Linked DNA regions of Drosophila melanogaster. The protein of the gene in region 2 purifies or fractionates together with the protein of the main gene of each other region. This does not show direct contact. Each region holds a gene or a part of one and is shown on either strand. Other genes may lie near its edges.

Region 1 (5,226 bases), on a different chromosome or scaffold from region 2:
GCAGCTTCCCGCTTGCCGTCGGCGTCTAGTTCAAAATGCAAGGGATTAAATGACTCGGCCAACGGAGTTGGATCTTCTGATAACGAAGGTACTACATAATGACAAACAAAAAGAAAACGAAAATAAAGGAAATGTACATTTAACAATTTACGCACAAATTACAAGTTGCAGGAAACCATTCAAGATACGTGATGTGATGTAGATGTCATGGGATATAGAAAGGAAATAATTTCGTTTTCCGTCAGATAAAAGTGTCTGTACAAAGTATCTAAAGCTAAGATGCTATAATTAGAATCAATTAATTTGTTGTTTGTTAGATCATGCATCATCAAGTGTACATATATGGTATCCATTAGATGCGTAGTTTGGGAATTCTGATCTAGAGATCAGAAAACATTTACAGGGTATATAACATACTTAACCAAAGTGCCTTACATAACGAAAACAGAGCTTTACAATATTTAAAATCCCTGCTTCTTATGTTTAGCACTCAATATACATAATAGATACGATCTAGTCCATTTTACATACTAACAGATACAAATACTTGAATTTTAGCACATAGAACATAATTTTTAAGTTATAGTACAAGATTTCTTACCACTTTGAGGCGTGGCCACATCAATGCAGCCATTTAGGCTAGTTGTCATATGCTCCAGTTGCTGTGTAAAGTCATTAAAATTGTCCGTAATTTCACTAAAGCCATCAAGATCTGGAATATCCTCCAAGTCATCCAAAGGCGCCACATCATTGTTGTTCACGGACATCATGGAGACAACGCTCTGCATGTCCTCGTCTCTGGAATCGAAACTTAGTAGTGAGGCTCCATTCTAAGTAGATAATTAAAGGGCAGTCGACTTACGTAGCCTTTCCTTCTCGCAAAAATACACAGCTAATCGTGAGCTCCAAACTGGCTGCAGTAATCTTCTTCGAGACTGGCTTTAGGCTCAAGGTAAAGCTCTGCTGAGTGGATTCTATGCTGGCATACTTCCTCATATTAATGCTGGCATTGGCCAGCACACGTTTCTTGCCCATTGGAGTGACCTAATGGAAGGTAACACCAATTACTGGCAACTCTATGCATCCATGACATTATTTAACCCACATCTTCGATGACAAACGTCCAGTCCTTGTCCTCCAGCTCGTGTGTCCGAGGATCCTTAAACAGGGTGACGGATATGGTGTGATTGTCGGGCACTGGCCAGGATATATTGCCCACCAAGGGGTTCATCATGTCCGGCTCCCATGGCAAAGGAGCACTGGCCACTCGTCTAGATCTTCTGGTCCAAACGATAGAGAGGTTCGACGGCCGCCTGAAATTGGCCATCACATGATTGTTAACCATTTCATGCCAAATTGGTTTCTCAAAGTTCTTTCAACTCTGATCATGTATTTTATATACAAGACCATGAATAACAATTTCTGAACACCGGATGCGGCGTCATTATATGCATATGTGGGTTCTTCAGTTGATAAATATATGCGATGATTGGTTTATTAAACAAAAGTCTGTACAAAACATTTCATGTCAACAGGAAAAGTTGGGGTCATTTGCAAATACAAAGATATAGATAGCAAATGGAGTACGACTATATTATAAATTCGTAGTCATGGAATTCAGTAGCCAATAGCCTCATCAATATTATACTATTTTCAATATTTTGCTTAATTTATTTGCATGACTAACTCCTCTCGGCAATTGAATTAAACTATATAATTAGTTGCTCAATGATATTCTCCGAAATATGTACTTATTTAGATAAAGGTAAATTAAAGGTGCAGAGTAATAAAGGTCAAGTAACTAGTCATATCAATATTTTATCGTATTTATGAAACAATCATTGTATATGAAGGGAAAATAAATCTTCAACTATAAGCGTTTGTTTAGCTTGTTCTTTGAAAATGATAAGAAATATTATAACTTCAACAAATGATACTGCAGTAGGGTCTACACATTTTTTGCGCATAAATATATATACGTATATATTCATTAATAAAAATAGACGCGAATGCAAGATAAGGCAAGTAAATATAAACATTAATAAGAAGATATTCTTTTGAAGAAACACAAAAATTACATGGAAACGGAAAAAAATATATTGATTTCAATGATACACAAAAAGGAATCTAAAAACGAGATATCTTTCCGCCAGAAACGTGCTATTAACCCCTCAAGTTGAAAGGCACTTAAGACCGCCACCGACCCGCCCCGCCCACTTTAGCCGACTCCCGGTGAACTAATCCACTTTCATGTGGGGCACTTACCACTTGGCGGTGGTTTCCAGATGCAGATCGTGGTACGATGCGGTGAACTGGAATTTGGCGGCTCGCTTGAAATTGCGCTGCAATCGCTTCCATACGCTGGCCATCTTAGCGGGTGTGGATCGTAGGGCTCTTTAATTTGGATATCTTTGGGGGTGTTGGGGTTTGTATAAAAATTAGACCCGTTTGGATCGTCGTTGCTTTGCTTTTTCAGTAATCTATTGTGTCATTTTTACCAGCTAACTTCTGCAGGCGATCTGGATGCGGAATGAAAAACAATATAGACGCCTGGTTATATGCTATAAATTTCTGGGTCAGTTTACAAGGTTCATTCATAAGGGAACCAAAAAAAAAAGGCAGACCCTCTTAAAATCGAAAGTTAGAGTGTGCAAGGCGGAAAACACTATTGTAAATTTATTTTTGAATTTTGTTGCTTTGTTGTCTGCAAAAACACTCAAAAAACACACGCACACACACGCGCGCACAGTTCTTGTGTTGTGTTGTATTTGTTTTTCTTTTTCGCTGTTTTGTGACCTTTAGTTGTCACTTTGCCTTTGTCTTTCTTGAATTTCTTATAAATACTCGAGATTTACAGCTTATTGCTAGTTTTGTTTTTATCTATTATTGTTCCTGCGGGCGTGTGTTTGTGTGTTTGCGTCTCACTGGCAAATTTTTAAGCGAAATTTGTATACATAGATGATGCCTAGACGTACATACAAATACATAAATAGCACCATTATGACGTCACTTTTGTTTTGGTCTCCAATTTCGTTTCAAGGTCCTTCGATTTGGGGACACTACGCCGAACATTTGCGCGTTTATTACGAGCACTCGCTGCCGTTTAGCTTTTATCACATCACAGCGAATAATTTAATTCACACCGATTTACACTTCGATCCGATTTTTTTTTACTGTCGCGAGCAGATTGAGTAGAGGTGGACAAACTGCAATAGCTCCAGACTATCGATAAGCCAAACATATGCGCTTGTTGTTTTAGGCGGTGAGGTAATATCGATTGTTTTTGTTGAAAAGGTTTGTTAGTTCTTCCAGCTATAAAGCAACTTTAAAGCACTCATGTATTTGTTTTAAAAACATCACAAACAGCAGCAATAGATCAACACAATACCTTTAGTCATAGCATCCGAAAGGTTCGAAACCCCGCTTGCACTTATCATATACTCGACTCTTTCGACATAATTAGAAATAACGAAAATATAACCGCTTTTAGTTCGAAAACCGAACAGGCTTCTTTCCCGTTTCAATAAAATCGCTCAATTTGATTTTGTTTTAAACGCAATTCGATAAATTTTATTTATAATTAAATCATGGATTCGTTAACATTAATTACAATTATTTAAAAATTAGGCGTGGCTGCTGTCGTTTTTTTTTCTTTCGTTTTTCGATTTGTATGATCAAGAGAATGTCGTTTAATTGAATGTGAAATTTGCGATTTTGTTTTTTTCTGCCGTTTATGGGTCTGCATATGTGCCATGCAAGTGTGTGGGTGCGCATATGAGTACGAGTCTTTGAGTGCAGCTGCGTGTGTGTCTGTATCAGCGGTTCACTTCGGCGTGGCAGTGGCTATAGTTATATATATATATATTTCTTTTACCGTTTACGGTCGAAATCCTGGCTTCGCGACTATTCAAATTTATTTAATTCAAGTTAAAAAGTACAAACTGAATGAATGAACTGGCTATCATGGCAGAGAGTTAGTTATCAGAGATACAAAACGGGCGTATCACACAAAAAGCGTTCGAACAAAGTCATTAACACATGTCATATTATGATAGGTGCATGAAACACGAAGATATCACAAACAATTTGCTATCAATAATTTAAAAGATAATCACAATTGGTTCTGAACCAAGCAACTGCAATCATCGATCCTACAACCGAGAATTTGTTGGAAATGCTCCACTCCTACGCTCTCCACCATCCCTCCTATACCCAAGCTATATCCTGCCAACGACCACGCCCTCATGAATCCGTCCAATGCAACACAGTTCTCCACAGTCGTCTAGGTCTTCTGTTTGCCCTGCTTACAGAACTCCTTGTATGCCCGCTCGGTTTCCTCGTCCATTTCCGCGTCGATTTCTAGGTCGGCACCATCCCCATCAAAGTCATCATCACCATCATTATCCCCGCCGGCCAGAAAATCGGTCTCCTCGGCAGTCAATTCGCGGCCATCAGGTCCGTAGAAGACGGGCTCATCGCTCAGGCGCGGCGGCTCCTTCACTGTATCTTCATCGTCTCCCAGAGCGTTCGACACCTTCCTGCCCCAGTTGTTCTGCTGCAGGGCAATTACACTTGCCGCCATGGGGTACTTGCCCGGCGACTTCAGCTCGATCGCCTGCAGGGCGGTGATGATCTCCTGTATGTCCTTGGGGCAATCGGCTGTCAGATCATATCCAGCCAGCTTGAGGGTCTGGCACAGGCAGCGAACATTTTCGTTGCTCTCGCTGGCCAGCAGCTTACTCAGCGAATATACAATATTCACAGCGATCAACTGGATGCGCGAGTCGTCGTCGCCGCGCAACTGCATGTACAGCTCGGCCAGAAAGAGGGCAGTCTCGCGAACCTTCTGCTGCTCGTTGGAGCGCATGTACTTGGTCACTTCCTCCTGGTGGTAGTCAAGCTTGCACTTGAGCAGCGTGTGGAACAGCGAGTCCGGCTTCGAGTTGAGCATGTGCAGCAGGTTGTACAGCTTGGCGCCCATGTACCGGAAGTTCGGCTGCTCGATCGACTTCTCGAAGATGTCCTCCATGGCGATGGAGAGCACGAATTGGTTGTTCTCCATGCCATCGAAAATGGTCAGGAAGCGTGATGCAATCGAATCAAATTGGCCCGGATTCTGGATGGAGATCATTAATATGTCTGGTTAGTAGGAAATTTAGGTTTAAAACTTAAGATTAAGTTTGACTAGACTGAAATGTTTCAGCTGATTTTTTTTTTTACTTTCGA
Region 2 (5,523 bases):
ATTGGACATGCAACCTACAATTGCCGAGTGATGATAATAAATTGTAATTTGTGCTTTCAGTGAACTTACATCGTCATCTACAGGCACATGGCGTCGACTACTTGCAATTCTCATTTCGCTGGATGAACAATCTGCTGACACGCGAGCTGCCGCTGCACTGCACCATCCGATTGTGGGACACATATCTCGCAGAGTCTGACGGCTTTGCCCTGTTCCACTTGTACGTGTGCGCGGCATTCCTTCTGCACTGGAAGGAGCAGCTGATGCAACAAAACGATTTCCAGGTGAGTCTCCAGACGAAAAGATCTTCCCTTCCTGCAACGTCTACTAATCATTGCCATCTTGCTATGTGATAGGGCCTCATGTTGCTGCTACAAAATCTGCCAACACACAACTGGTCCGATCGACAAATCAACGTTCTGCTGGCCGAGGCATTCCGCCTGAAGTTCACGTATGCGGATGCGCCCAAGCATTTGGAGACGAAGAGTTGACAAAAGCAACACAAACAACGCATATACGTAACTTAGAAGTTAGTTTATTACGATTTGCGGAATATACCTACACAATACACGTACGCTACATACATCTAATAATTATATACAATTTGTTATTTAGACGTTCCTCTCCGTTTGTTTTCATTCTATGTCGTTTTCGTTTTGTATTTATCAACAATCCGTACGTAGGCAACCGCTAAAGTTCTGCGCTTTTTGTACATAAGAATCAAAAATTCAAAATACAATTTTACACGTTCAACGGGTCGAGCTGTTTCAATTGAAATTTGTCTTTTATAAAAACAAATCGAATCAAATGTAATGAGAACTAAATACTTTTTCCATGTGAAAATTCAAATTAGCCTAAACAATAAAGATGAAAAGCTATAGTTTATGATTACACGAATTCAACAAGGACTTAAAGCGACTAACTACAAGCCTGATATTTCTAATTCTGTCTATCGGCAATGTGCTTAAGCTGCTTGAGCACCGTCTCCAAAAGCTTCTTCTTGTCATTCTTTCGCACCAACGAGAAAATTGGCTTTTTGTCCGCCTCGCGGATCTTTTCCAGTATCACAATAATGGACTGCGGTTGCACCAGATGGTAGCGGTTCTCTTGCTTGCCATAGTCATGGAAATACGTGCTCCATTCCTCTAGAATGAGCAGGTCCAACAGCTGACGGTTACGTAGGAAGTACTTGCTCAGCTCTCCTTCCTTTAGACCAGGCACAGGTTCCGAGGCCGCAAAAAACTCGCACTGCATCAGATCCAAGTTGATTTGTGTGAGTGCTCCCGTGGAAATCTGCTTCACATCCTCGTCATACATGATCGAGTAAATCTTCTCTGCAATGTGCTCGAAGGTGCGTCGGCAGGCCGCCTGGGCGATGTGGGGCAGCTTGAAGGCAAAGCTGTCAAAGGTGCTCTTAAGGTAGGAAATCATGTCCGTAATGAAGGCGGAGGCTATTCCCGGCGGCTCTACTAGTAACCAGTCATAGGCGCTTAGTTCGAAGAACTCATCGATCTTCGAGCAAATACGTAGGCCCACCTGCTTCTCGGCATCTTGCCGGGCCACGTGGAACATGGCCGATGGTGTCTGAGATACGCTCCTCTCCGTGTTGGTCATGTGACACACGAACTCGTCCAGAAACGGCCCTGCCTTCTCCAAGTACTGCGTGTCGATTATGATCTGAATGAGCTGCGTCAGCGTGATGCTCGGCTGGCGGAACACCACAGATAGACAGCCACTGAAACTTCGTGTGAGCAGCAGATTGGCCGCCTTGCGCACCATGGCGGCCACCTCGTTGGGCGATAGGGTGAGCTCCTCGGCGAACTTCATGCAGGCGTACATGAATTCCTTGGCCTGGTGATAAACCTCCGGCACCATTCTCGAAAAGGGGAATTTCTTCGGAAACGGAGCATTTTCAAGCTGTTCCGAGTGGAAGGGGAATCGTTCGATGATGCATTCATACTCTTCCGTGTTTTGTACAACCATGGGCAGGAACTGTTCCTTGTCGAGAATTTCGCGGAACACATGTACCCAGCGTTGCAGTAAAACCTGGAAAGGAAAGCCAAGAGTTTTACAAACAACAGAATGGCTTATAGAATTTCTTAACGTTCACCTCATTATAATGATCCCGCATGTTGTGCAATAGTTCCCAGAGGATGTTCACGGTGTAACCGTAGCACTTAAAGGTGTTGATGGACAGCATAATGAGGTTCTTAATGCGCAGAAGGATATTAGGATCGGTGCAGGACGAAGAACTCATGCTGATTTCGTTGACAAACTTGGTTAACGAGCTGGACCACAGATCCTCCAAATAACTGCTGGTCACGACATCGCCCGCCGTGTTTTTAACGTGATCCTCAACCACGAAGAAGCCAACGATGGCACAGATGTACGTTTTGTAGGCCTCCAAATTGTCGTGCATGTTGGGCGGCGGTTGAAGCACCAGTTTGGCCTGATCCCTGCGCTGCTGACGATAGTCCTTCTCGAAGTACTCCCGCTGACCCAGCACCATGTAGATGTGTAGGCAGCGGTAGATGGGGGAGAAGTCAATGAGATCCTGGGCACTAACGTTGGCACCATCATCATCCCCGCCAGCACCTGCTCCGCCGGCTTCGCCGCCATTCATCTGCTGCATGTGCTCGGCAATGATGGCGTTGATATCACGCTTTTGGAGCTGTTTTGTGTGTGTGATGGCCAGCTCGCCGATGCGGGGTGAAAACTTCCGGATGTTCTCGAGGAACTCTCGAAAGTCCGAGGCGGAAGAGCGACGGATGTTTTCCTTGATTATGGGAATCTGTATCTGCATCTGGGTGGCGAATCGGTAGTTGTGTGTCTTCAAGCGCGTTAGGTGCTCCGTCTCCAGAGTCTCCAGAGTTCTCAGCGCCTGGTAGTACTGCTTGTTCTTTGCCTGCTGTGTGAACTTCATGTAGCACTCCAATGCGGGCAGACAGGATTTGAGTGCCTCGATGGCGCTGGCCAGATTGGATTCGATCTGACGGGCCCGCACTAGATCATTGCCCTGCTGAATCAGCGAGGCGCTGATCTGGCGAAGGGACGTGTCCAAGGAATGCACTTCGTTGTGCAGCTGTTGGGCCTGCGTGCGCACCTGGAGCAGCTCCTGAATTGAATCGATGAAGCCCTGGTAGTACAGATTGCAGATCCGCTCGATCTCTTTGTCATGGCTCCGTATCCGCTGCTCCAGTTGGTCGCCAATCTGCTTAGTGTTGTTGCCTGTCCGGGAAAAAAGGAAAATGGGCGTAAACAAAGTGTGCCAATTGCTTCTATTCGCAGTCACCTTCAAGGATCGAACGGAATGTTGGTCCCCAGTAGTCGTCCACCGCCTCAATGTCTTGCACGGTCACTTTGGACATCTTATAACGCTCTTTTTTCTCTTCTAAACAACTTTTTACCAAACTTTAATGAGCAATTATTTCGCCGACTTATCGGTATGGTATATCGAATATTTACTAAGTGTTATCGAGGTTTGACTTTCGATACTAGGCGATAACAATTTTAAGCGGTATGTTTTAAATTATAATACAAAGTTGTGTCAGAGAATATCTGACTGCATTATCTTTTAAAAAGATATTATCACTAGGATTGTAATAAAATAAATAAATCAAATAGGCGAAAACTACCGAATCATAAACTTAATTTATATATGTATATCAAAATCCGGTTCTTAACTATTTAAGCAGGAAACAATGATTTGTAAAATATTTATAAATTAATTAAATATTTACAACTTAAACCTATGCTATTAGTAATGTTCACCAACATAATATTCGTTGGTAATTTTGATAAGAAAAGTAATTAATTACAGATGTTTGAATAACTCATTTTGGCGCCCTTATTTCAAATATCCGCAGCAAGCAACAGGTTGGAATGCCGTCTGCTCGTTATAGGCCGCCTTGGAACAGCTGTTGCTGTTCAGCTTTCACTTTGGCTTCGCTTTGGCTGGCCGCTTCTCGAGAGGGCCAAGAGTTGTCGGTGGAGTTGTGGTTCCGTTGATACAGTTATGTTGCAGTAACACCCGTACACGCACGCAATCACGGCACAAGCTAAACACCCGAAATCAGCAAAGATGGCCGACCTACGGAGTCGCCACAATGGAACCGCTGCCATGGAGAAGCAAAGCCACAGCCAAACCGGAAGCCACCATCACAACAACAATAAAGCGCTGGATAAGGAAGCATCGGAGAATGGAAAGCCGGAGAAGAGTGATCCCATGATATACATAATCTTCGTATCGCTGCTCTTCGACTTACTGGCCTTCACCATCATTCTGCCGCTGCTGCCCTCGCTGTTGGAGCACTATCGCCAGAACGACAGCTCCGGCTTGTATGCCGTGCTCACGGATCGGGTGCGCTGGTTCCAGCAGCTCCTGGGCGCCCCGGATCGCTACATATCGGTGCTATTCGGAGGCTTTCTCGGCTCCATGTTCAGCTTCCTGCAGTTCGTGGCCAGTCCGATTGTCGGAGGACTCTCGGACTACTACGGACGGAAACCAGTCCTGCTGGCTTGTGCGGTAGGTAATCCCAGTGCTCAATGCTTTAATGTGCACTAAACACTAAACTAGTCTTGTTAGTTTTCTTTTTGGCTTGGTCAACATTTCATGCTATTACGAGTTCAATCCAAAAGCGTGGAATTCGTCAAATTCAAACTCCTTAGCTAAGCCACAAATAAGTAAACCTTCCTTAAGCTACGTCTTCTTTCATCTATAGAGTGGTATTGCGTTATCCTATCTGATCTGGGCCTGCTCCAGCAACTTTGCCCTGTTCGTTTTGGCCCGCTTCGTGGGCGGAATTAGCAAGGGCAACATATCCCTGTGCATGTCCGTCATTACGGATGTGTCCAGCGTTAAGACCCGTGGACGCGGTATGGCCCTTGTGGGTGTGGCCTTCTCGCTGGGCTTTATTGTGGGGCCCATGATTGGAGCCCTGTTCGCCATATTCTCCGATAAAAGTGGAAGTACTTGGTTTGTGTTGCCCTCTCTGCTGGCGTTTGGCCTGGCAGTTGGAGATCTTGTGGTCCTGGCCTGCTGTCTGCGGGAAACGTTGCCCAAGGTGCGTACGGTTGGCTAAATTAAATATATTCCCAACACCATTAATTGTTTGACCTTTTCGCAGGAGAAACGTGTTAAGGAGATATCATCTGCACTGTCTTATGGCCTGCAGTTGCTCAATTTTTCGGCCATATTTAGGTAATTCAATGTTTTAATTAGCATGTCTCGAAAACCTGTCGTGTGATCAAATCGAAATCGTCATACGGTGAGAACTGCAAGCCACCCGGACTTGCCTGACTGGTTTGATAGACACTATTATCATGCCGGGTTCTCGGACACGTTTGTTTGATTGCCTTATCAGTTAGTAAATTCTAGATTGCTTTTGATTAATTGTAGTTACAGGGAATTGAGTCCAGTTAGCTAGAAGATTATTACCAATGATTATGTCTGGATTTTACAATCATATTTCAAAAGAATTCTCCCACTGACAGATTTGCTGCCATCAAAAATGTGCCTAAGAA

What was found.
Region 1: the proteins of Sec15 (region 2) and Ehbp1 purify together in Drosophila melanogaster (affinity purification with western blotting, with the first as the bait; one study listed by BioGRID). This does not show direct contact.

Annotation. Positions count from the first base shown.
Region 1 is NT_033778.4:17,012,684-17,017,909, forward strand, and holds the start of Ehbp1 (Eps15 homology domain containing protein-binding protein 1), read right to left. Parts: upstream 3,212-5,226; 5' UTR 2,976-3,211; intron 2,520-2,975; 5' UTR 2,370-2,519; coding exon 2,266-2,369; intron 1,314-2,265; coding exon 1,106-1,313; intron 1,045-1,105; coding exon 863-1,044; intron 799-862; coding exon 602-798; intron 92-601; coding exon 1-91. Other genes in the region: Paip1 (Poly(A) binding protein interacting protein 1), read right to left, coding at 4,283-5,116.
Region 2 is NT_033777.3:21,104,526-21,110,048, forward strand, and holds Sec15 (secretory 15), read right to left. Parts: upstream 3,448-5,523; 5' UTR 3,369-3,447; coding exon 3,293-3,368; intron 3,229-3,292; coding exon 2,111-3,228; intron 2,047-2,110; coding exon 940-2,046; 3' UTR 521-939; downstream 1-520. Other genes in the region: Tbc1d22 (TBC1 domain family member 22), read left to right, coding at 61-284, 357-491; rtet (tetracycline resistance), read left to right, coding at 4,082-4,525, 4,722-5,063, 5,127-5,200, 5,494-5,523. UniProt on the Drosophila melanogaster protein: Component of the exocyst complex involved in the docking of exocytic vesicles with fusion sites on the plasma membrane.